Linked DNA regions of Saccharomyces cerevisiae S288C. The gene in region 1 interacts genetically with each later gene. Each region holds a gene or a part of one and is shown on either strand. Other genes may lie near its edges.

What was found.
Region 2: mutations in SRL2 (region 1) and CUP1-2 together harm fitness more than expected from each alone (negative genetic interaction), as found in Saccharomyces cerevisiae (one large-scale study listed by BioGRID).
Region 3: mutations in SRL2 (region 1) and YMR321C together harm fitness more than expected from each alone (negative genetic interaction), as found in Saccharomyces cerevisiae (one large-scale study listed by BioGRID).
Region 4: mutations in SRL2 (region 1) and HMS1 together harm fitness more than expected from each alone (negative genetic interaction), as found in Saccharomyces cerevisiae (one large-scale study listed by BioGRID).

The regions. Positions count from the first base shown.
Region 1 is NC_001144.5:289,772-296,464, reverse strand, and holds SRL2 (Srl2p), read left to right. Parts: upstream 1-2,892; coding exon 2,893-4,071; downstream 4,072-6,693. Other genes in the region: EMP70 (Emp70p), read left to right, coding at 371-2,374; galactose permease GAL2, read right to left, coding at 4,529-6,253.
Region 2 is NC_001140.6:212,864-218,586, forward strand, and holds CUP1-2 (metallothionein CUP1-2), read right to left. Parts: upstream 1,856-5,723; coding exon 1,670-1,855; downstream 1-1,669. Other genes in the region: YHR054C (uncharacterized protein), read right to left, coding at 322-1,386; YHR054C-B (uncharacterized protein), read right to left, coding at 1,654-1,827; RSC30 (Rsc30p), read right to left, coding at 2,320-4,971; peptidylprolyl isomerase CPR2, read right to left, coding at 5,363-5,723. UniProt on the Saccharomyces cerevisiae protein: Protects the cell against copper toxicity by tightly chelating copper ions. May also act as a depository for copper designated for the effective transfer into the apo forms of copper proteins.
Region 3 is NC_001145.3:915,522-921,446, forward strand, and holds YMR321C (uncharacterized protein), read right to left. Parts: upstream 2,376-5,925; coding exon 2,058-2,375; downstream 1-2,057. Other genes in the region: YMR320W (uncharacterized protein), read left to right, coding at 1,225-1,530; SNO4 (glutathione-independent methylglyoxalase family protein), read right to left, coding at 2,845-3,558; phosphopyruvate hydratase ERR3, read left to right, coding at 4,567-5,880.
Region 4 is NC_001147.6:385,889-393,042, forward strand, and holds HMS1 (Hms1p), read right to left. Parts: upstream 5,188-7,154; coding exon 3,883-5,187; downstream 1-3,882. Other genes in the region: DFG16 (Dfg16p), read left to right, coding at 937-2,796; YOR032W-A (uncharacterized protein), read left to right, coding at 6,288-6,488; Rad2 family nuclease EXO1, read right to left, coding at 6,528-7,154. UniProt on the Saccharomyces cerevisiae protein: Involved in exit from mitosis and pseudohyphal differentiation.

The DNA.
Region 1 (6,693 bases):
TGTTAGTAGTAAATTCAACACGTATTGGAAGTCACTTGGAATGTTACCAATACTGCCTGAGAATGAGTGATTTTAACTTATAATACAAAAGTCCGGGTTACAGCCCTTTAAATTTTTTTCACGGCAATTTTTCTTTACTTGGTGAAGCCATGAAAAATGTCATCGGTTCGAAGAAATAGGCCTAATGATAAACAAAAAGGTAATTCAAGGTTTTTGAACTGCTTTGTTGTTTTTATTTGTATCTTTTTTTGGTACGTTAGTTAAGTTAATTTTTGGCTCCTTGTCCAGCTTTTCCTTCATCTGCTACCGTTATATTTTCAGATATTAATTTAGTAGCAGAGAGCAAGTACCGAAAGGAAAACAAAACAGAATGATTTACAAAATGGCACACGTACAGCTTTTGTTGTTGTATTTTTTTGTGTCAACAGTCAAAGCCTTCTATTTACCAGGTGTAGCGCCTACCACTTACAGGGAAAATGACAACATCCCATTGCTCGTTAATCATTTAACTCCATCAATGAATTATCAACACAAAGATGAGGACGGTAATAACGTTTCTGGCGATAAAGAAAATTTCTTGTACTCATACGACTACTATTACAATAGATTCCATTTTTGTCAGCCTGAAAAAGTCGAAAAGCAACCTGAATCCTTGGGATCCGTTATATTTGGTGATCGAATTTATAATTCACCATTCCAATTGAATATGTTACAAGAAAAAGAGTGTGAATCCCTGTGTAAGACCGTAATTCCGGGAGATGATGCTAAATTCATCAATAAATTGATAAAAAATGGCTTCTTCCAAAACTGGCTTATTGATGGATTACCGGCTGCAAGAGAGGTTTATGATGGCAGAACTAAGACTAGTTTTTATGGTGCTGGCTTCAACCTTGGTTTTGTACAGGTAACTCAAGGAACCGACATTGAGGCTACTCCAAAAGGGGCAGAAACCACCGATAAGGATGTGGAATTGGAAACACGTAATGATCGTAACATGGTGAAAACTTACGAATTGCCTTACTTTGCCAACCATTTCGATATTATGATTGAATATCACGATCGTGGTGAAGGTAACTATCGTGTAGTTGGTGTTATCGTCGAACCGGTTTCCATAAAACGTTCCAGTCCAGGTACATGTGAAACGACTGGCAGCCCATTGATGCTAGACGAAGGAAATGATAATGAAGTTTATTTTACTTATTCCGTTAAATTCAATGAATCAGCGACTTCTTGGGCCACCAGGTGGGACAAATATTTACACGTATATGATCCTTCTATTCAATGGTTTTCTTTGATAAATTTCTCCTTAGTTGTTGTCTTATTGTCATCTGTTGTTATCCATTCGCTATTGCGCGCACTGAAAAGTGATTTCGCACGTTACAACGAGTTAAATTTGGACGATGATTTTCAAGAAGATTCGGGTTGGAAATTGAATCATGGTGATGTTTTTCGTTCGCCAAGTCAATCGCTAACCCTTTCAATTTTGGTTGGTTCAGGAGTTCAATTATTTTTGATGGTAACTTGCAGTATCTTCTTCGCTGCATTGGGTTTCCTATCACCTAGTTCTAGAGGTTCCTTAGCCACTGTTATGTTTATCTTATATGCATTATTCGGGTTTGTCGGCTCTTATACATCTATGGGCATCTACAAATTTTTCAATGGGCCATACTGGAAGGCAAACTTGATATTGACTCCACTTCTAGTTCCTGGTGCTATTCTGCTAATAATTATTGCGTTGAACTTTTTCTTAATGTTTGTTCATTCTTCTGGTGTCATACCAGCAAGTACTCTGTTTTTTATGGTTTTTCTATGGTTTTTGTTCTCAATCCCATTATCATTTGCTGGTTCATTGATTGCCAGGAAAAGATGTCACTGGGATGAACATCCAACCAAGACAAACCAAATCGCAAGACAAATACCCTTCCAGCCTTGGTATTTAAAGACTATACCAGCTACTTTGATTGCTGGTATCTTTCCATTTGGCTCCATCGCCGTTGAGTTGTATTTCATATACACAAGTTTATGGTTTAATAAGATTTTTTACATGTTTGGTTTCCTCTTTTTCTCTTTCCTCCTATTAACTTTGACAAGTTCACTCGTCACTATTTTGATCACTTATCATTCCTTATGCCTGGAGAACTGGAAGTGGCAATGGAGAGGATTCATAATTGGAGGCGCCGGTTGTGCTTTGTATGTGTTTATTCATTCTATTTTATTCACCAAATTTAAGTTGGGTGGATTCACGACTATTGTCTTATACGTGGGATACTCCTCAGTCATTTCATTACTCTGCTGTTTGGTAACGGGGTCAATTGGCTTTATCAGCAGTATGCTCTTTGTTAGAAAAATCTACTCATCCATTAAAGTTGACTAGGCCAACGAAAAAGAGGTCCTATATGTTGGGTTAGGGCGTTTTTTATTTATTTCTCTACTGTTTATCTTTTTTAACAAAGAAAATGCTAGGCCCTATGGCCTTTGGACATGATACATAGTTTTTAGTAATATTTTTTTCAAAAAGATTAAAAGTACTATAGGATTCGAAGTTGTAATTTTTGGTGTATATACATTTATTTATTTGAATCTTTTTTCCATGATTCTGGAATGACATTCTGCGTTACAGTTTGGGAATAAATGCTCCTTTAAGGAAATAATATACAGCTTTAGTGTACAGGGTTAATCTATAGCCACATTAAAAGGACTTGATTATGACTTAAAATAAGTGACACTGACGCTTTAATATTCAGTCCGGGTGATGCTGTCATCTAGGACAAAACAATGGGAGTGGATAAGTAAGCAAGTAATAAGATAAAACAGTATTAGAAATTGGTAGTAGGCTGAAGCTTGTTGAAGCTGGTGGACAGAAAAACGCTTATATTGTGAAGATCCTTTTGGATGTCCAACTTTAAGAATTTTACTTTAAATTCCTTTGAAGATTATTACGGAAAGCCCTCTGAAACGCCAAAAATGGAGGAAGAGAAATTGGAAGTAACAAATGTGAATGCGTCCTCTTCAAAAAAAGTACATAAAAGCAAAAAGAGCACTTCAAAATATGACCAAAAGAATGTATTTAGAAACTCAATGACAGGAATTGCACAAATACTGCCAACAAAACCTGTGAAAATTATAGAGCAGAATATTGATTTTGCCAATCCGAAGAGCTTCGACCTCCTGCAATCTACACATACTATTTGCTTTAATAAAAGAATTAACACTACTAATACCAAGTTGAATGTGGAAACTCATACTTCTAGTGATATTGACAACGACATATTGCACGTTGGAGCCCCCACAGACTTGGGGGGAAACAGTAATGACGAAGCGGAAACAAGGCAACTAAGGAAGTTTCGATGGTCCAATAATAAAGAAAAAAGTCTTTGTGAAAAGTTAACAGTCATATATTGGGCCCTCTTGCTCCACACAACAAAGAGAGCAAGTAAAAGGAGACCTATATTATGTCATCAAATGATAGCTGAGTTTTTTAACAGAGTTTATAAGGAGAAATCAAGAGTACCTATAACTTCAAGATATATTAGAGATAACCTCGTCGCTTGGGTCACTCAAGGAAAGGAATTGCATGAAAAAGGTTGGGTAGGGGATGCCAAAACTGGCGATTTGCAAGAACAGTTCAATATAGCCACTGTCAAATTATATGAAAGCGCAGAAGACGGGCGTCTTTCCATTGGTAAAGACAAACCCTTTCGAGAGGAAAACACCGGCAGTGATAGTTTGGTTCGAGCGGAAGAGGACTCTACCGCTGTCACTAATGAAAATGGACATATTTCTTCAGAAAAAAACTTGAAAAAAGATCGTAGAGAGTCTATAAGGAACCAAATCCTGACTTTAGACCTAAATGACGAAGATTTTTTCCAAAATGTAATGAAAGTTTTATCAGCCATTGATGAACCAGAACTGAGACAATATGTAATCGTAATCTCAGAATTAGTTAGCATGGAAATGGATGATGGTAAAACGGTACGAGAAAAGCTCCGAGACGTTGAATTGAATATTAATAGGTTGCAGGTTGATATAAAAGAAATAAAGGAAATGCTTGTTACACTGATAAACAAATGACTGAAAAAAGCAACTCCTGGATCGTTCGAACATTCTCACTCCATTAATTGTATGTTAGCTCAGGAATTCAACTGGAAGAAAGTCCAGGCAAGTACCTGACTTATTTTCTAGAGGACCCCCCAGAGATAAGTCTGGTGATGTGGTCCTTTAATAATTTCATAGGGACAATTCATTTTGCGTTTTTAATTTTGCTCGGTGAACAAAGGATGGCAGAGCATGTTATCGTTTTCTTTTTTTTTTCCTGTTTTAGAGAAAAAGGTTATATATGTAATAATACTCTGATATATGTACACAAATAATAGGTTTAGGTAAGGAATTTATATAATCGTAAGGATATCATTGATAAGGGAAATTTTTTTTTTTTTTTTTCAAACAAATACTATGATAATTAAAATGAAGAAAAAACGTCAGTCATGAAAAATTAAGAGAGATGATGGAGCGTCTCACTTCAAACGCATTATTCTAGCATGGCCTTGTACCACGGTTTGTCGTCATGTTGTAAATCCTCTAAATCGTAATTATTACCTCTTCTGGATGAAGGAATCCAGCCTTCAGATTTCCAAGGTAAAACACCTTCTTCCCATAATTCTTGAATTTCTTCTAACGATAGGCCTTTAGTTTCTGGAACAAAGAAAAAGACATAAAAAAACATGGCAACCAAACAGCCCATGAAGACATAACCGTAGTAGAAGTTAATGGCAGATGTGATGAATGGGGTGAAAAATGCAATCAAGAACCCCCATACCCAATTGGAAGCAGAGGCCAACGCCATACATTTCGACTTGACTCTCAGTGGGAATGATTCTGCTGTGATGACCCAGGCAACTGGCGCCCAGGTTGTGGCATAACAGAAAATATAAAAACAGGTAAAGACAATCATACAGTTACCGGCACCTTTAGAAGATGGCTGGCTTTTACCGTGAGGATATAATCTAGTAACACCAACAGAGGCGTAGATGACCATACAAGCCATCATAGTGGCAGCGCCCAAAAGTAAACATTTACGATGTCCCAAGTTTTCGACAGTCCACAAACTAAAGAAAGTGGAGGCAAAGTTGACTACACCAATGACAATGGATGTTTCAAAGGAATCATCCAGGCCAACTGACTTGAAAATAACGGTACCGTAGTAGAAAAAATAATTGTTACCGGTTAATTGTTGGAACATTTGAACAAACACACCCATCAACAAACGTTGAAATACTTTGGTCTTGGTGGAAAATAATTCCCCCCAGGACGCATTGCCAGCCAGTTTTTCAGCTTCTATACCGGCCATGATCAGATCTAACTCTGCCTGGACGGCAGGATCCTCTGGTGACACCTTGTTAGACTTAGCAATGGAACGCTTGGCGTCTTCTACCTTATTCACCTCACATAAATAACGTGGGGATTCAGGAACTAACGTCAAAGCGCCAATCATAAATAATGACCAAGCGAAACATAGCCCTAATGGAACTCTCCATTGAACTGAGTTCGAATAGCTCTTTGTACCGTAATTAGTACAGTAGCCCAAAAAGATACCTGCAGTAATCATCAGCTGATAACAAGAAACTAGTGTGCCTCTCAAGTGCTTTGGAGCAATTTCAGAGATCAACATAGGACATAAGACGGCGATGCCGCCGACACCCAAACCAGATATGATTCTACCAATGAAATATTGGTACCACTTGTTGATAGAGGCAATTTGAATGATAATACCAACTATATAAACCGAGACGACAATCGAAAGACCCTTTTTACGGCCATACATATCTCCACCTTTGGAAAGTATAATACCACCAAAGGCACAGCCAATATTGAAAATGGCGACGATTAAACCTGTTCTGACGTTTGACAAATAGTGGGTACCATCCTTATGTTTCATACCAAACCTTCTCAAAAAGTCTGTTTGGACAACAAACCCAGAAATAGTACCGGTATCCCAGCCAAACATGAAGCCGCCGAAGGCAACACACAAACAAAGCAAGGAAACGGTAACATATTCAGACATGGGCTTCTTGGGTATCTCTATAGGAACACTTTGGGAGCCTTCAGACCCTGACTCACCGGCTTTCAATTCATCATTAGAATACTTTTGAGATTGTGCGCTTAAATGGGAATCTTTACTGAGTGAAGAGATCACGTCTTCACCAGCTTGGGGTTGCTGTGAAACAACAGGCATATTGTTCTCCTCAACTGCCATTATGAAAGAATTATTTTTTTTATTATGTTAATCTTGTGTTTACTTAACTATTACTATTCTTGATGATAATTGAATAAGGTGCATAATGAAGAGCAATTCACAACACCAAATTTTCAATCCAATTACTGATTGTTTATATATGTCTACAAAACTTATCCTATCTCCACATTTTAGCCTGCGAAATGTTTGTTTTTTGAACAATAGCTCTCCAGAATGTTGTATAATTTAAGAATATGTGCACAGTTAACTTTCTAGCAGGAGTATAATGCCATTTGCTCCCCATCTTGAGATGGGAAGGGCTTAACTAATCTCGGTTCGGAGTGATCCGCCCCGATACTGCCTTCTGCCTTAATATCGTCCAAGGCACATGGACCCCTGAACGGCGCAGATATCTCCGCACGGACGAAAGACCGCCGGTGCCTTCCTGAGGCAACCGCCCC
Region 2 (5,723 bases), on another chromosome or scaffold:
GATTCTGACAATCCATATTGCGTTGGTAGTCTTTTTTGCTGGAACGGTTCAGCGGAAAAGACGCATCGCTCTTTTTGCTTCTAGAAGAAATGCCAGCAAAAGAATCTCTTGACAGTGACTGACAGCAAAAATGTCTTTTTCTAACTAGTAACAAGGCTAAGATATCAGCCTGAAATAAAGGGTGGTGAAGTAATAATTAAATCATCCGTATAAACCTATACACATATATGAGGAAAAATAATACAAAAGTGTTTTAAATACAGATACATACATGAACATATGCACGTATAGCGCCCAAATGTCGGTAATGGGATCGGCTTACTAATTATAAAATGCATCATAGAAATCGTTGAAGTTTGCCGTAGTAATACCCAGATTATCAGATTCCAAATCCTTGTCAATAATTATACTCCTTTGGACAACTTCTCTTTCCATTAAAAAATCTGAAATCTCCTTAAATTTTAAATAGATTCTGTTCAGTTCACTAACGGGGAATTTCAAGAGAACATTTTTGTTCTTCGCCGACTGACTATAATCTGTAACATTATTGTTATCAGAGTTTCTCGCAAAATTTTGTTTTTTCTTGCTAAATCTCAGCATATATTTAATCAGATTCAAAACCTTGTTGAAACCTTTAATAGATTTGAAACTTCCGTTGCTATTCATTTCATCTCGTAAAAAGGATACGATAATTTCTATTTTTTTTAAAATTTCCAAAATCTTGTCATGAATCAATAGCAATTGAACATTAATCTCCTCATTTGAAAGATTTTTGTAAAATTCGTCATATAATATTACTTCACAACGTTGGAAAATAGCAAATGTGATTGCTATAAAATTCTGTAAGATTTCAATAAAATGATTTGCGAATAAAAATTCTTTACCATTAGAATGAAAGCGATTATTGCCGCTTGAAAATGACTTTATCGACTTTATGGGGAAGATAAAATTAAATGTTATTGAGTAAAAAATGTGCATATTAGAAATAATTTTCATCAGATCCTTTGCACATCTTTCAGAGTTCGAGGTCTTATTGTTGTTAGAAGAATGTTGAACTGCCATGGACAAAGAGGATTCGTTTTGAACAAAAAGGAAAAAATTTGTATAAACAATGGTATTGATAAAATTTAAAGTGTCTTTCCATTCTTTTCTGACTTCGTTGTCATGAAAATATAAGTCTACTGTATTACTCACGCCCATAGTCAAGGTTTCTAACAGACTTTCAATTTTGGTTAAATTTACTGGCAAGTAGAAAGGAACACCTTGCAGAATATTTATCAATTTTGCTTGCGTTTCCAGTAATTTTAAATCGTTAGCAATTAAAGGAATGTCGTTCGTATCAATAGAGGCAGGTATCGGAGATAGGTTTTCAGCAGCGGGTACCATGAATAGCTTTTTTTTTTTTTTTTATTCGAAATCTGGGGATTCTATACAGAGTTGTAAGTTAGGCAAACTAGAATTTGGTAATAATATTTTATTCTTGGGGCGACATATGGAGATACTTTATTTCCTTTTCTTAATTATTAACGTATACCTATAAATTAACAAAGTATCTAAACAAAATACATAAGTGTACTCAAACTGAGTAGAATCGTCGATTAAACTTCCTTCTCCTTTTAAAAATTAAAAACAGCAAATAGTTAGATGAATATATTAAAGACTATTCGTTTCATTTCCCAGAGCAGCATGACTTCTTGGTTTCTTCAGACTTGTTACCGCAGGGGCATTTGTCGTCGCTGTTACACCCCGTTGGGCAGCTACATGATTTTTGGCATTGTTCATTATTTTTGCAGCTACCACATTGGCATTGGCACTCATGACCTTCATTTTGGAAGTTAATTAATTCGCTGAACATTTTATGTGATGATTGATTGATTGATTGTACAGTTTGTTTTTCTTAATATCTATTTCGATGACTTCTATATGATATTGCACTAACAAGAAGATATTATAATGCAATTGATACAAGACAAGGAGTTATTTGCTTCTCTTTTATATGATTCTGACAATCCATATTGCGTTGGTAGTCTTTTTTGCTGGAACGGTTCAGCGGAAAAGACGCATCGCTCTTTTTGCTTCTAGAAGAAATGCCAGCAAAAGAATCTCTTGACAGTGACTGACAGCAAAAATGTCTTTTTCTAACTAGTAACAAGGCTAAGATATCAGCCTGAAATAAAGGGTGGTGAAGTAATAATTAAATCATCCGTATAAACCTATACACATATATGAGGAAAAATAATACAAAAGTGTTTTAAATACAGATACATACATGAACATATGCACGTATAGCGCCCAAATGTCGGTAATGGGATCGGCTTACTAATTATAAAATGCATCATAGAAATCGTTGAAGTTTGCCGTAGTAATACCCAGATTATCAGATTCCAAATCCTTGTCAATAATTATACTCCTTTGGACAACTTCTCTTTCCATTAAAAAATCTGAAATCTCCTTAAATTTTAAATAGATTCTGTTCAGTTCACTAACGGGGAATTTCAAGAGAACATTTTTGTTCTTCGCCGACTGACTATAATCTGTAACATTATTGTTATCAGAGTTTCTCGCAAAATTTTGTTTTTTCTTGCTAAATCTCAGCATATATTTAATCAGATTCAAAACCTTGTTGAAACCTTTAATAGATTTGAAACTTCCGTTGCTATTCATTTCATCTCGTAAAAAGGATACGATAATTTCTATTTTTTTTAAAATTTCCAAAATCTTGTCATGAATCAATAGCAATTGAACATTAATCTCCTCATTTGAAAGATTTTTGTAAAATTCGTCATATAATATTACTTCACAACGTTGGAAAATAGCAAATGTGATTGCTATAAAATTCTGTAAGATTTCAATAAAATGATTTGCGAATAAAAATTCTTTACCATTAGAATGAAAGCGATTATTGCCGCTTGAAAATGACTTTATCGACTTTATGGGGAAGATAAAATTAAATGTTATTGAGTAAAAAATGTGCATATTAGAAATAATTTTCATCAGATCCTTTGCACATCTTTCAGAGTTCGAGGTCTTATTGTTGTTAGAAGAATGTTGAACTGCCATGGACAAAGAGGATTCGTTTTGAACAAAAAGGAAAAAATTTGTATAAACAATGGTATTGATAAAATTTAAAGTGTCTTTCCATTCTTTTCTGACTTCGTTGTCATGAAAATATAAGTCTACTGTATTACTCACGCCCATAGTCAAGGTTTCTAACAGACTTTCAATTTTGGTTAAATTTACTGGCAAGTAGAAAGGAACACCTTGCAGAATATTTATCAATTTTGCTTGCGTTTCCAGTAATTTTAAATCGTTAGCAATTAAAGGAATGTCGTTCGTATCAATAGAGGCAGGTATCGGAGATAGGTTTTCAGCAGCGGGTACCATGAATGAAGACTGACCTAGAAGCGAATGTCTTGAGTAATACATTTTTTTCAAAAAATGGAATAACTTGAAATCTTTTATCTGGAAGCTTAACAGACAGCTCAAATCTTCGTCTAAACTTGATTTATGATCATCATGCATGTACAGAGATTCATAAAATTTTGTGATGGCAATAAATTTGATTGTCTCTTGGTCATAATATTCCAGGTTTATCAATGTGATTTGGCTTCGAATCAACCTCAAATTATTCATTAATGCCGAAACATGGTTATTAATAGCCTGCTTATTGAATAGGGTCATTGAATCGTTTAACAACAGTAGAAGCACAGTTAATTCGCCTAGTTTGGTCAGTTGAGATAAAGGAAGATCGACCGTTGAGAATGAAGGACAGGTATCACCATTTGGAAAAGAGTTATGAACAAATTCTAGTAAGAGGGTTTTGTCAAAGATTGGCAAAAATTCTTCAATATTCAGATTGTTAAGGGATTCAGAGTTTAGTGTCTCAATAATTATTGCTTTTGGTGGGAAGTTAACTTTGCAAACTTCCATATATTGTTGGTGATTTTTATTGTTAGGAGGACTTACTTTGAACTGATTAATATGGCAGATATCGTGCAAAATATTATAGAACTTGAAAAGATAATGATCTCTAAAAATGATGAAGTTTTTAGTGAAAAGGTAGTTGGGGGTATCCTTCAACGGTTTCACTTGGACTAAACTTTGCACATCTGTTATTGTGAGCGCTGTAAAGTATTTTTGTGAGGACTGAGAAGTCCTTGAAGTCTGATGATCAAATCCGGCTCTTTTACCGTCAACCTTGCCTTTCTTAGAATTCTCACCTGTTTTGTTAATTTTGTTTGCCGTGGTATTGTCGGCATTTAAATTCGATTTTTCTTTCAAACTTTTCAGTTGCAAGCTTTGTAAATCAAGCAATTTGTTTTTTAAAAAGTCTATCTCCTTGATTAATACTTCCTCTTGAGTAAACGGAGAAGTCATTAGATCGAAAACGGCCGAGTCTTGATTGATACCAACATTAAAAGAGTATGGGTTATCTGTATAGTCAAAACTTTGAGCGTTAACCAGTTGTAATCGTGTGTTATATTCTCTAATCTGATCCATGGAGGGCACATCTGGACTATCGCTTCTCACAATAGTGTTTCCATGAACATTACTACTAACGGTACTACTATTCTGACGAGGAGCAGTATTATTATTGGTGTTATTATTCTGGTAGCTAGCGGCCTTGGTCCACTGCATCGCAGTATCCACAGAGGGGTTGAACGAGAAGTTGAATGCCTCTATCGACGTTTGCATAATCGGATACTGCGTTTGAATCATTACGTTTTTCTGATTTACACCGTTTCCCTGACTAAAATGGTTGGAACCTTGGCCATTGCCGTGCGTGGACATCCCGGACGCAGAGGGCACAGCGACCATCTTACCAGGTCCATCTGGATAAAAACAGTCCGGCTTGTTATACTTGACGCAATTCCCACATATCGGTTTTGCCCTGTCGCACCCGATCTTTCTCTTCCTGCATTGGGTGCAAGCAGGCGGCTTCCTCACTTTTCTCACTTGCATGTCCATCATGATTAAAAACAAACGGCAAAGCTACGCACTAGTCACAGCAGACAACGACAATGCTCCTCTCATAAATTGCTAAGATACATTAAAAACAACAACTCTCTTCTTGTTCTTCCTCTCTTTGCATCATTCCTGCAAAATATCACACTACACGAGCTAGGATGTATAACCATCCTTAGTAGGACGCCAAGGTTATATTCAAAATGATATGATTTCCCCAATTAATACTTGCTGTTGCATTTTGAATCGGATGTAACTGGGACTAATGCTGCGCTAACCAGACGTACGTTCCGGTGGTCACAGTGCGGAACTGTTCCCACGTTCTCTAGTTAATTTACCTTTAACTATACATACTGAAATTGATATCTATGTATATAGTATGAAATATTGCATATACTCAAGAAGAGAGCTCAGGCGTCCACTCACCGCATTTTGCGATCTTGACCGCCTCGAGAGGTTTGTCATTCGCATCTCTGGACACGTGCTGTATGTAGTTCACCACATCCATGCCGTCCACAACCTGTCCAAATACCACATGCTTTCCATCGAGCCACGACGCTTCTTCCGTAGTGGTGATGAAGAACTGAGATCCATTGGTATCTTTACCACGATTAGCCATCGATAGTCTGCCCTTGCGATCATGCTTCAAAGTAAAGTTTTCGTCAGGGAAAGTATCTCCATAGATGGATTTGCCACCAACGCCAGTGCCGTCTGTGAAGTCCCCTCCCTGTACCATGAAGTTGGGAATCACCCTATGG
Region 3 (5,925 bases), on another chromosome or scaffold:
TAGAACAGCAAGCACAGATATTTGCTCATATGCAAGGAAACTGGTGTGATTAGAATGCCTTAAACATGAGTCCAATGTATGCGAATAAGATGCTACGTTGAATAAGCAGATCAAAGAACTTTTGGTAGGAAAAGCTTCTTTTTTTAAAAGCGCACGTTTCTTTTTCTTTGTTGGACCTTCCATCAAAATCCTTAATACGTGCAGCGAAGCAGCAACGCATTGACAGTTCATACAGGAAAGAGGAACAAATATTTTGAGCTGCTTGTCCCAGGAATCTAGGTGCTTACGTATCTTTTATTTTATTTAAATGTATGATCTTACCCACGATAATGGTCTTAGTACTTTAGTTTGGCAATGATGGAACCGGAGGACAACGGACAAAAGTTAGGGTATCTTTACTCTGTCACTGCGTATTTTTTGAAATACACTATTTTTACAAGGAGTTAAGCATAACAAGCACGTGCTGCAGATGTTTTCATTTAGTGAGTGAAGATCTTTATTCAAGTAATTCATCTTCATCCGTATAACTTCTTAGTAAAGCGACAAGGTCTGATGGCCGAATTTTTTTAATTTTGGCCATCGTATTAAAATGAACACTCTAAAGCCGAAATGAGAAAGATCTCGCTAATAGTAGGTTAGGACTCAATGGCTAGGTTATATTTTTGCCTTCGTGAGAGTAATTTACGTCGAGTAATGTCGCCTGACATCCATATCCCTTTGTTATTCTTCATTAAATGTCACTACAAATTCTGTCCTTACTGAAGTAAAGAATATTTGAAAATACTACACTGATCTTTAATTACTGATCTACAATAACACACAGTGTTGAAGGATAATTCCAAGACTCTCACCTGCGACTGGTCGTGTTAGGAAACCAAACTGAAATATGCTAAATTTCGAGTGAAACCTACCGGAATCGGTACATCTCCAGAGGATTTTAAGTGAAGATTTAACATCGTATAACAAGCATGCATAACTTGTCACTGGGATAAAGAGAAGGTACTAAATTTTCGTAGGCGACAATTTTCCATCTCATAGAGTACTCGAAGAAAAACATAAACACTATTAAAAATAGCTCCTAGTAAAGGCTTTTTGGATTCTAATTCAAGTTTACAAATACCTACCAACAACATTCTTGATATTGTAATCTGCTCTGAAGTAGATACCCTAACGGGATTGTTAAGTCAGGGAGCAGCGTAACGACATTCACGAAAAGCTCTAAAAATGCGTAGATTTGGAAAGCCATGTATTGTTTCACATGAAATTTCGGCCAGGCCTCACATATTACAGCCTTGTAATTATAAGATGGTGCTGAGTTGTAAGGTAAAAAAACCCATTGAGTTATTGCACCTTCAAGAGTTAATACTTTACACTTTTATGAAAATTTGCCTTCACGTAAACTTGATCCAGCAAAACATCAATAAGTTGTCATATATTTCTCGAAAATATCCAAGGGCACCTGCTTTTATCAGCTGCGACAATAGAGCCACGGAGCCAACAAAAAAAGGCTTTTTAGTTTGCCGCATGTAATGATTGGCGAATAATTTTTCAAGGTTATGATTGTTCTTGGGAACACAGATCACGGAATCCTTTTGCCAATAATACATTAGATGGAATATTTGGATACAACTTTCGAATATAACGCCTTTTGAGCTAGCAATATCGACTGTATGGGAATATAAAAGTTAATTTTAGGCAATTTAATTAATCGTGACTGGTCGGAGAAGGCGAGATTGTAGCTCCACCATGTGAGGATTATTGGCAAAGGTTTAGATCCGGTGGAGATTTATCTTCTTTTACCCCATCTTACTTGTGCACTCTCCCAAATTCCCATCTGATGAACTGTTAGTTGATTCCTTTAGATTATAAAACATATGATGTTTACTCTGTTTTTTGTCGGCGAAGTACGGAAAAGCATTTGTGACTCTAAAAAAACATGGCAAGGATAATTAATTAACAATACTTCTTGTGCTGTTTATAAAATGTATTTAGTGTAACATGCTGCTTCCTAGCATATGTATAATGTTAAGAATTTTCCAGTTTCTTTAAAAAGGCATTTACGTGTATTTCTTGACGGCTGCAGAAATCTCTTGGATGTCTTTTGGACTTGTTCTGCAACAACCACCAATGATACGGGCACCGCTGCTAATGTACTGTTTAACAACCGTATCCCAACTGTTCAGCTTATCGCTATTTGGCAACCATATCTTCTTTTCAGTATCATAAACTTCACCACTGTTTGGATAAGCAAGCAAGGCCATATTTGGCAGTGCTTGATGTAGAGACTCAAGAATGTCGGGTGATTGGTTGAAGCTGACGCAGTTGATTCCTAAGAACGAGAGGTTAGGATTTATTTTGTCGCCCAAGTCCATCATCTATTTACTACGAAACGATAAATTTCCCCGTTTTCTTTTACTTTTACTTCATTTAATATAATTCATATTTATTTCCCATGTACCAATTAATTACTCCTAAAAGAACAGAAATAGAAAAAAGTTGTATATAACAAGCCAAAAAAAAAAAAGAAAAAAGGAAACACAGCTTATTTCAAATTGCAATCTGCGTATTTCGTAAGTAACGAATGATCTCACAGCATTGCTTTTTTTTTTTTTTTTTTTATATATATGTACATTACCTATGTCACATATGACCATGATGAGTACAACACTAAAAACCAAGGCCTACTATTCAATTGTTCTCTATATGATTTCCATTCTAGCAAAATCGAGTGCTACCGATCTGCCGTTTTCTTTACCTTTCGAACCATTGAGCTGTTAGCCTTCTCTTCACAGAAACTGAAGGCCATTAGAAGCCTCCCCTTCAACAATTCCCTTGTCTTTTGTTTCAGCTATATAATGCGTTTATAGCTCTAATTGTGGTCGAATAGGAAGAATTTGCGTTAACACCCGTAACTAGCTTTCCATCGGTAATAGAGTAGTCATCCCAGGGATGAATTGGCGCCAAGTACTTGGCTCTATTCTTGTTTGCAACGCGTTCAACCGTTGTCAATTTTCTGCTCCTCAAGATGTCGTCAACTCCCAGGGCGATTTCACCCTCGAGTGGGAAACCTGTTATAGCTTTGCCTTCGATTAATGGTCTTGTTGTTTTGATATCTATTAATCCATCGAAAAGGAGCGGTCCATGACAGATGGCGGCGATCACACCCCCATTGGCATATATCTTGGATGCAATATCTTGCAGATTTTTAGCTTTGGGATAGTCAAATAGAGCACCATGTCCAGCAGATGCAAAGAATATTTTATAGTCGCTGGCGTTGACTTCATTTGCGGTCTTGATCCTCGCTAACGCCTTATTGAAGGCGGAATTTTTCGTTTCAAAGTTCATCTTATCTTCGCCACCAATAAAGCTCTTTGGCAAGTAATGTTCATCCCAGCCAAATCCACCAGTCTCAGAAACGAAGTCCACTTCGAAACCATGCTTTTCGAAAGTATCGAACGACCGCAAAATCTCAACTACAAAAACGCCTGTTTTCGCACCATCTTTATAGAAGGGACCGTGGTATGAAGTAAGAGATATTAGCGCTCTTTTTGGAGTCATTGCAAGGCCAGTTTTCTTTTTGAATGAAGGAGAAAAGTGTTCTAGAAATATGTTTTAGTTCTAAGTATCGTTGTCTGGAGCAAGCAAAGAAAAGCAGACCTGTATGTGCAACTTTCTTGTTTTCCATTAAAATCTCAAGAACCGGCCCCTTGACTGTGCTCATATATCAAGTATCGGTTTTAAAGTCCCCTAATTGTGATAATTGCAAGAATGACAGTCAAAAAGATATTTTTCTTTTCTTTCTTTTTACCTATCCTTCATGAAAATACCTATGCTGATACTGAATATCTTCATTTGCAGCTATGCAATATTTCAGATACTGCATTTTACCCAAGAGTTTCTTTACTGGTGGTTGGATTTTTTTTAAGACGAGAAGATTACCAGTCCTGGATGTTCATGAATGTGCCTATTGCGTCATCAGCGACTCCGCGCCAAGAAAAGAAATACTCGCATGCTCGGATTTATAGAATCGCATAATGGAAATAGCTTCCTTAAAGGATGGAGATAAGGAAAAAATGACAAGAACAAGGAAGTACTTGGGAGCTTTCTCCGACATGTTAAATATTTGAAACTCACGCAGCTCTCCTGGAAAGTTGCATCTGGAAAGGTAAGGTTGTTTTTTGTTCAGACATCAAAATCGGCTCTTGTAGACAATGTCACAGATCCACAAGTTGAAAAAAAAGTTTCGATGAACTGGATAAGGGGAGAGGTCACAAACAAAGTGTAGGGGGTGAGTAGTATAGTGGTAACTTGTTCATTTACCTAAATAACATTCTCACTAGAAAAGAGATATTGAAAGACTCCTCGTTTACCTAACTTGGCTGGTTCTTAGGTATATAATAGAAACATGGATCTGGCAGGTTATTACTTACAGTTTGCATTCCCACCAGGTAACAATTTTCATTATATATAGTTATTTTTTACCACCACTTCTTCTTCTTTCACTTTGTCTTGCAATAGAAATACCAAAACAAGGTGAGGAAAAAATCGAATCTCAACGATAAAAATATGTCCATCACGAAGGTACATGCTAGAACGGTGTATGATTCTCGCGGTAATCCGACTGTTGAGGTTGAAATTACAACAGAGAATGGTCTCTTCAGAGCGATCGTCCCATCTGGTGCCTCCACCGGCATTCACGAAGCTGTTGAACTTAGAGACGGGAACAAGTCCGAATGGATGGGAAAAGGGGTGACCAAGGCAGTCAGTAACGTCAATAGTATCATAGGGCCTGCTTTAATCAAGTCCGACTTATGTGTAACCAATCAGAAGGGCATAGACGAGCTCATGATATCGTTAGACGGAACTTCTAACAAGTCAAGGTTGGGCGCCAATGCTATCCTTGGTGTTTCCTTGTGCGTTGCTCGAGCTGCTGCCGCACAAAAGGGAATTACTCTCTACAAGTATATAGCCGAGTTAGCGGATGCTAGACAGGACCCCTTTGTTATTCCTGTTCCTTTTTTCAATGTTTTGAATGGTGGAGCCCACGCCGGTGGCTCTTTAGCTATGCAAGAATTCAAGATCGCGCCAGTCGGGGCTCAGAGCTTTGCAGAAGCCATGAGGATGGGTTCGGAGGTTTACCATCATTTGAAGATATTGGCGAAGGAGCAATATGGACCTTCCGCTGGAAATGTTGGTGACGAGGGTGGAGTCGCCCCCGATATCGACACTGCCGAGGACGCCTTGGACATGATTGTGAAAGCCATTAACATATGCGGTTACGAGGGTAGAGTGAAAGTAGGAATCGATAGTGCTCCTTCTGTTTTTTATAAGGACGGGAAATACGACCTAAATTTCAAGGAACCGAACTCTGACCCATCTCACTGGCTCAGTCCAGCTCAGTTAGCAGAATATTATCATTCATTGCTAAAGAAATACCCAATCATTTCCCTGGAAGACCCCTACGCCGAAGATGATTGGTCCTCGTGGTCTGCCTTCCTAAAGACTGTCAATGTTCAGATAATTGCAGATGACCTGACATGCACCAACAAGACCAGGATCGCCCGTGCTATAGAGGAGAAATGTGCGAATACTCTGTTGCTGAAACTCAACCAGATCGGTACTCTGACTGAGTCTATTGAAGCCGCCAATCAGGCTTTCGATGCTGGATGGGGTGTAATGATATCACATAGATCAGGTGAAACCGAAGATCCGTTTATCGCTGATTTGGTCGTTGGTTTAAGATGTGGTCAAATTAAATCGGGCGCTTTGTCGAGATCAGAAAGACTGGCCAAGTATAATGAACTTTTGCGTATCGAAGAGGAACTGGGGGACGATTGTATATATGCTGGTCATAGGTTTCATGATGGAAACAAACTATAAAGGATTGTCTTGTTTCCTTTTTTTTTTTTTTGTTTTTTTATGACT
Region 4 (7,154 bases), on another chromosome or scaffold:
GATCGTTATATGGGAATACTAACAGTGAGAAAATGGAAGAAACGGGTTAGCGTAGAAAATTGTAATTAAAAAACAACAGTTTTAAGAAGGTGGTGGGCAATTAATACTTGAGGATTAATACTTAGAGCTTATTCAAAAAGAAAAGATAGAATTTCATGTAATACATGAGAACAATGTAAGGTTTTTAAGGTAACGAGTAACTAAGTTTTGAAATATCTTCACTAGCCTTGCAATCATCTTTTAGCTTTTCTATTTGCCGGATTCTTTACAACATAATCACGCTTTCTTCTAGTTGTAATTTTCCTTCTAGATGTCATTATTTCAACCGATGTCATTAATATCCTTTTATGGTGTTTACAAAAAGAAAGTTTCAAGTACCGCTCACCTACACTACGTTGTAATTCTTAGATACATAACTTTAGTTTTGTCGCCTATGTGCACAGATAAACAAAACAACCTATAAAATTTCCGTTGGGCCCTTTTGTCCCTGATTTCTGGTGTGTAACCCATTTATTTCTGTCCTGTAATAATTCGTCTTCGGTGATTGCCATATATACACAGTTTAGCTTTACTAACTATAAACATCCGAGAAGAAGAAAAAAGAAGGTCTGATTTCTATCAAACAACATGTGAAGATAACACAATCGATGTGATTGATATCAGATTTACTAGCCCCGTTGGATTGAAAAATCTGCAAGGAAGGGCTAAAGAGCAATATACTTTCTTTTGTTGTTTCGGGGTGATGAGAAAATTGTAACTTTTTTTTTTAACTTGGCGAGAAAATTGACTGGAAGAAGTGTCAAAGATAAGGCTTCTATCATATTCAAAACAAGTACCACCAAATGGCAGCTCAACTCCGAAGGCTCAAAAACAATACTTATTGATATTGCACTCACAAGCATTTTTTGTTGCGGAACGTCTTTACGTGCAAGATTAATGATCATAAGATTGCATTTTTACTACCTCCTCACTTTAGTTTACCATTTAGGACTTGTAGGTGCGTATGAAAAAGCAGCAAGAAAGAGAATTCAACCTCCCGATTTGATACCTGGTCCTCCGGGACATAAACTTGGTGATGAAAGACCACCGCATTACGACCACCGGCCACCTTATAAAAAACACATCGACAACATTCCAGCTTACAATCTGACTGATTTGATAGATGATAAACTACTAAATAAATATGAAAACTCATGCACGGTAAATGTATTGACAGGTGGCTTCATCTCTCTAGCAAGTAATTCGTGGCACTTACGTGCTTATAATTACACTTTAAATTACCCATCCTTTTTGATCCGATGCGATAATGGCAGTGCAAATCCTAATTTCTCTCATGTCTTACAAGACTTTGTTTATGACATCAACAACAAATTCAACGTTCAAGATGACAGTAGTAAATACATCGGAAAAGACCCATTTCCCTTAGGAATGATAATGATCACCTTTGCTTCTGGGTGTATCTGTGTGGCAACATGGATGCTATTTTTGGTTGTCTTATTACTGCCATCCGATAATCATAATAGAAGAAATAAAGTTGTACATGTTTACGTCCTTTTCTCTGCGATTATAAGAACTGTATTTCTAAACGAGACTATAGCCGTCATATTTGACAGCCAATATCACGATGACTACCAGGATGCGAGCCAATTTGAATCGTTCATCGTAGAAACTGCACCATATAAAATATGTGAATTAGTTGCAAATATTTTGAGTGATATAAACTGGATTTATATTGTTCACTACTTACAGTCCAATTATGGAAAACCAACTTGGAATTGGATCCCATTTAAAATGAAAAAGGGGACACATATCATAATTACCGTGGGTTGCTTCCTCTCACTAGCCGATAACATTTTATTCGCAAACCTTCTTTGGAGAAAGAACCTTGTAGTTTTGAAGGTATTTTACAAGCTAATCGAATTACTGATTTACACAATTTTCATCTCCATTATTTGTTACTTCACATGGCATAATTTTGCTTACATACTTTTACCGAAAACTGCTGAAATTAATACGGACGGTAAGTGTAAAACGAAATTGAGAATTCTTTGGGAAAATTATCACGAAACTATACCATTATTGGCGTATAATATTCTTATATTTATTTTATTCTATTTCACCACAATTTTTTTCGCTGCTTTCACCAAACATGTTAGAGGTTGGACATTTAACTTTGTTCATCTTTTGAAAGTTTTAATAACAGTGAACGTTTGGGGCTTAATTGGAGTATTGGAAAAGAGGGAGCTGCACATAAGCAAAAAAACAGTCCTTGGACGAAAAATTAACAATAGGGACAAATTTTTCGCCAATCCAACAGTCAATTATTACGGAGAAGATTTAGGCAAGCATTTAAGCGCCATAACGTTAAACAGGGATTTAAACACTACTAAAAGTAACACTACTTCCCACGATTCATCAAGTTTAGTAGGATCCCCTTCACCCACCTGGAAATCTCCAATCGAAAGAATAAGGGACAGAAGAAGAAGACATAAGATAATGAAAAGTGAGAATAAATTTGGGCAAAATCCCAGTTTTGGAAGTAAATCGAATGGCAAACCTAATACTAAAACGACATTATCCAAATATCGACAGCTATTAAGGAAGCCTAGGCGAAAAACCAATTCATATGAACCAAAAAATGGCATTGGACAGAATAAAGAAGGCTCAACTGTTAGACCAGGAGCCGACAAACATATTAGAGATTCCAATTATCTAGCTACAGACATCAGTGACAACGAAAGTATGGAAACCGAACTTCGAACCAACCACATTTATAATTACGAAAATAGTGATTAAGGCAGGCCCAGTGGACGAAAAGACATAACTGCAGAAGTACAGCTGCCTTTATTTCTTGTGGTCATTTATTGCTTTTATTTTCAAGTCAGATATACAAGAAAATCAAATCCCATCGTCAACGTCACGTATAAACGATTAATTTACAGTAATACCATACTCTACCAACATTATTTTAGTCCGACGTTCAGTCCTGTAGGTGTTCCAAATCCTTCTGGCATTGACTTCTGTGCAGAAACCCTTCAAAATGAGTTCCACTTTACGTCAGATCGCATAACAACCGGTCATATATTTTTTTCTTTTGCTAAACCCCCTACTGCAAGCACTTTTAAGAAAAAGAACAATAAATGCGTCTTTATTGCTGTGTGGAAGTGATTTTTGTCTTTCGGACAAAAAAAGGATAGGGATGCGAGAGGGCTGTGAAGTAGTGATCAAGCGGGGCCTATATAAGAAGGGCGCACATCGTCCCCCCTAAGAATAGCGAAGCGATATTACACTGAACACTACAATGTCAAATAGTACTCAATAAATATGACTGTAAAAATATGTGACTGTTAAGGCGAATGTTGTAAGGACTCTTGTCATTGTGGGAGCACCTGCCTTCCAAGCTGTTCTGGCGGTGAAAAGTGCAAATGTGATCACAGCACCGGAAGCCCTCAATGTAAGAGTTGTGGTGAAAAATGCAAATGCGAAACCACGTGCACTTGTGAAAAGAGTAAATGCAATTGTGAAAAATGTTAGGTGACCCCTACTCTTTACTTATCATAAATACATCATCATATTTTACCCTTAATTAACAACATTTATTTAACTGCATGAACTAAATATAAGGTATAGTTTCTTTTTCCCGGAATCTTTTTTTTAGATCGTTATTATTTAGACGGCACTAAGAGAAATAAATTAAACTAAATTACGGTGCGGAGCTCAAGGCATCTGCGAGTGTTTACTAACACTAAAAGAGATGAATAAAATAGATTTCTCAATGCAAAATTAAAATTACAATGTTACGCATACACACAAGTACAGATTTGTATATAGTATTTCTTCTTCGTTTTATCTGTCGTGTTGAAACATTTTGTTGTTCAAGTATTAAAAGTCTCCTGCGTTGTTAAAATCCATATCATGTGAATTGTTGGTGCCGCTCATGAGGCCGTTTTGATGTGGAATATTATATTGAATGTTATGCAATGGTTGTTGTTGTCGTGGCTGCCGCTGCCGTTGGCGTTGGCAGCTTCTGGTTTGCTTTTGTACTTGTTCACTACTACTGTTGTCACTCAACGGTTGAGATGGCTCGGTAAGATGGACGAAAGAATCCCGTGTGTCATTTGATAAATGTTGATTAGCCAAGCTTAGCTGTAGGCACTTTCTTTCTAAATGACAAATATATTCAATAGATTTCGTTAAAATGGACGCCTTATTCAATTTTGTTGCTGGCTCTAGGCCATCTAAGTCTGCTAGGTCTCTAGATGTAATGGGAAGATCGTTACATTTTTTATACGCTACTCGTAGCGTTGGGACAGTTCTCCTTAATTGTTCAATTTTATCATTAATATTGGAACGGTATTTCTTTTCAATTATATTGTGTGATACCCTTCCTGTCCTCACCCTTGTTATTCTTTTGGGTTTAACATGAAAATGTTTCCGTATAGGTGAAGTTTTTAACTTGAAGCTCATACTGTCAGCATTGTCAATATTCTCCAAATTCAAAGATGATTTAATCTCGTCTGCAGTAACTAAGGGAGACTCTGTCTTCGATAAAGGCAAAAAATTTTCAAAGCCAGACAATTGTTCCTTTTTCACGATTGAAGCTGCTGAAAGAAGACTCGAGTCCTTTTCAGATTTAAGATCGGTTTGCTTTACATTATCAATGTTTTCATTTTCCTCGCTACTAAAGACTTCCATGTTATCAATGTATTCTTCGCTGTCAATAGTATTGCCATTGTCTGTAGTCATTGTAGTACTACCCGTCGTTGTTGTAGGTATAGAAGCCAGAGCATCATTATAGTAATTACTATCAATTACTGGAGTGTGGCCTGAAGTATTAGGAAACGAGGAGTCACTATACTGGTCTGTGGCAGAATATGTGTTGTTCTTATATACAGGAGGCACGGGAGGTTGAAGATGGATGGGATGCTGAAATGGAGCGTAATAAGCATGCGTCGGAGGTCCTTGAGAACCCAAATCCTCGGTATTGTAATTTGGTGGCGGCACGTTGTAATTGTTACTTTGAAACATTAAATACATTTGGTTCGTGGTTACATTTACATTCTGCTCTTCGCTGCCATCTTGAGCACTTCTACAATCAAAAACCTTGATGGCGACTTTATTACCTAGGTCGTTCATTACAGAATTGCCATCCGAAGAACCAGAAAAAGGTTTTTGAAAATTTGGCATTTCCAATTTATACTCTTATCGTTGCTAAAATGAGTCGTGTACTGCAACTGCTCTATATTCTATATTCTAAGCGAATGGGTGGGTGGGTGTGACTAACTATTAAACTACCTAAGCGATCTCGAGAGCCAAGGCGAGTAGTAGAAATAAAACTAGAAGCGCGCTTTACAGGTTTGACCTTAAGTATGATGCGATAAGACACTTACATAGGACGATTTTTGAGGCTTACAATGTGTAACCAAGGTATATAAAAGGTGCTGCTGCTCTTGGGAAAAATACAAAGAAAACGCCTACGGTAAAAATACAATACCAGCTATTTTTTTCTTTTGAGAAGCCCACTCAAAGTAAAAATTAAACAATGATGGAAAAGAACGGAAAAAAGTTCAAACAGAAAATTAAAATACAGCAGAGAAGACTAGGCACAACAAAGTGGGATTGTGTCTACGCTTTTAACGGTGTACCCTTTTTCCTCGCCACGTTTTCACTCAGATCTAAATCTCTGCTGTAATTTACAGCGGCATAAGAAGGCACGTCCCCTGAAAGTAGGCTAGCCAGAAAACAAAAAGGCCAGAATCGGCGCGGAACTTCTCGTATCGAGAGCAAATGAGGGGTGCGGCACACAGTAGGAAAGGGTAACTGATTAACATACGTACACCCCGGCATAAAAGCTTCTGCAGGCTTTGTAGGCAAGAGACACTGCGGAGAATAAAAGGTTGTGACGCCCAATACCTTCGCCGGACTCCTTCTTGGCGTTCACAAAAGACGATGCTGCAGCATTTTTTTCTTGCGTCGAACTCGCGCCCACAGCAACGAGACGGTTCCGTTCCTTCCCGTAATGTTGCTTTGATTAACAAAATTCTCGTTTCCTCAGTTCTGTGAGCCCGTTTGTCAGCAGAGGAATCCCAATGAAGAAAATTTTTTCTGGAAAGTAAAAGCGAGCGAAAAGTTTAAGGTTCAGATTGCATCACTATTCGTTCAGTTGATAGCGAATGTAGACCGCTAGCGGCTTGATTAGATAAATAGAGTGGGTTAAAAAAAAGGAAAAAAAAAATGTGAATTGCACATGCCCAGCGCGCTCGCAAAACATATAAAGTTGTCCTCACATGCGGCGTGCATTGTTCATAGCGGGGCAAACATACTTGTGGCTTAATTTGACACATCTACTTTTAATCTTTTCTTGGTCTAGTACAATGGCTTTTTCCCAAAGTAGAAGGCTTCTTACTCCAACCGTACCCTGTCCTACTTTACTGGGCATTGATTTTTTAATTCTTGTCTTGAGGCATTTCGACGAGATTTTCATTTGAAAAATATACCTCCGATATGAAACGTGCAGTACTTAACTTTTATTTACCTTTATAAACAAATTGGGAAAGCAAGGAGATAGATCTGACTGCCGGCCGAGCTTGGCTTGACTTAGTAGTTTCGATGTCCCTTTTCTTACTTTCCTCATGCAAAATTGGTGATGAATTGAATGATTTTCGTTCATCTACGCTTTTCATGTCAATCACAATTCTCTGTGACCTGGCACCAATAAGGCTTTTTCGCAGTGATGGCCTTTGCGTGATTTGATTTTTACCATCGTTATCGTCGCAATCATCATCTCTATTTTGATTGACGTATACCATTCCTCTACTTTTTTGATTAACGTGCCGAGGAAATAGTGGTTGTCTATTTGCATTAACTCCGCTGAATGAAGATGAATATCTAAACTTTTGTAAAACTTTTGTGCACCCCGATATACTCCTCTGGGATGACCCGGGAAATGAGGTGGTGCTGCTCGTGGGAACTCTTGATTCCGCAGTTTCGCTATAATCCTCGCTAGTATCGCCATCACCGTCATCATCTGTATTATAGATTTCGTTACCGATAGTCTTTCCTTCAGAATTCTTTCGGTCCTCTTCAATGTCACTGACAACTTCAGAAACCTCTTCACTCAGGTTGTCGTCATCCTCTAAATTGGTTGTAATAAA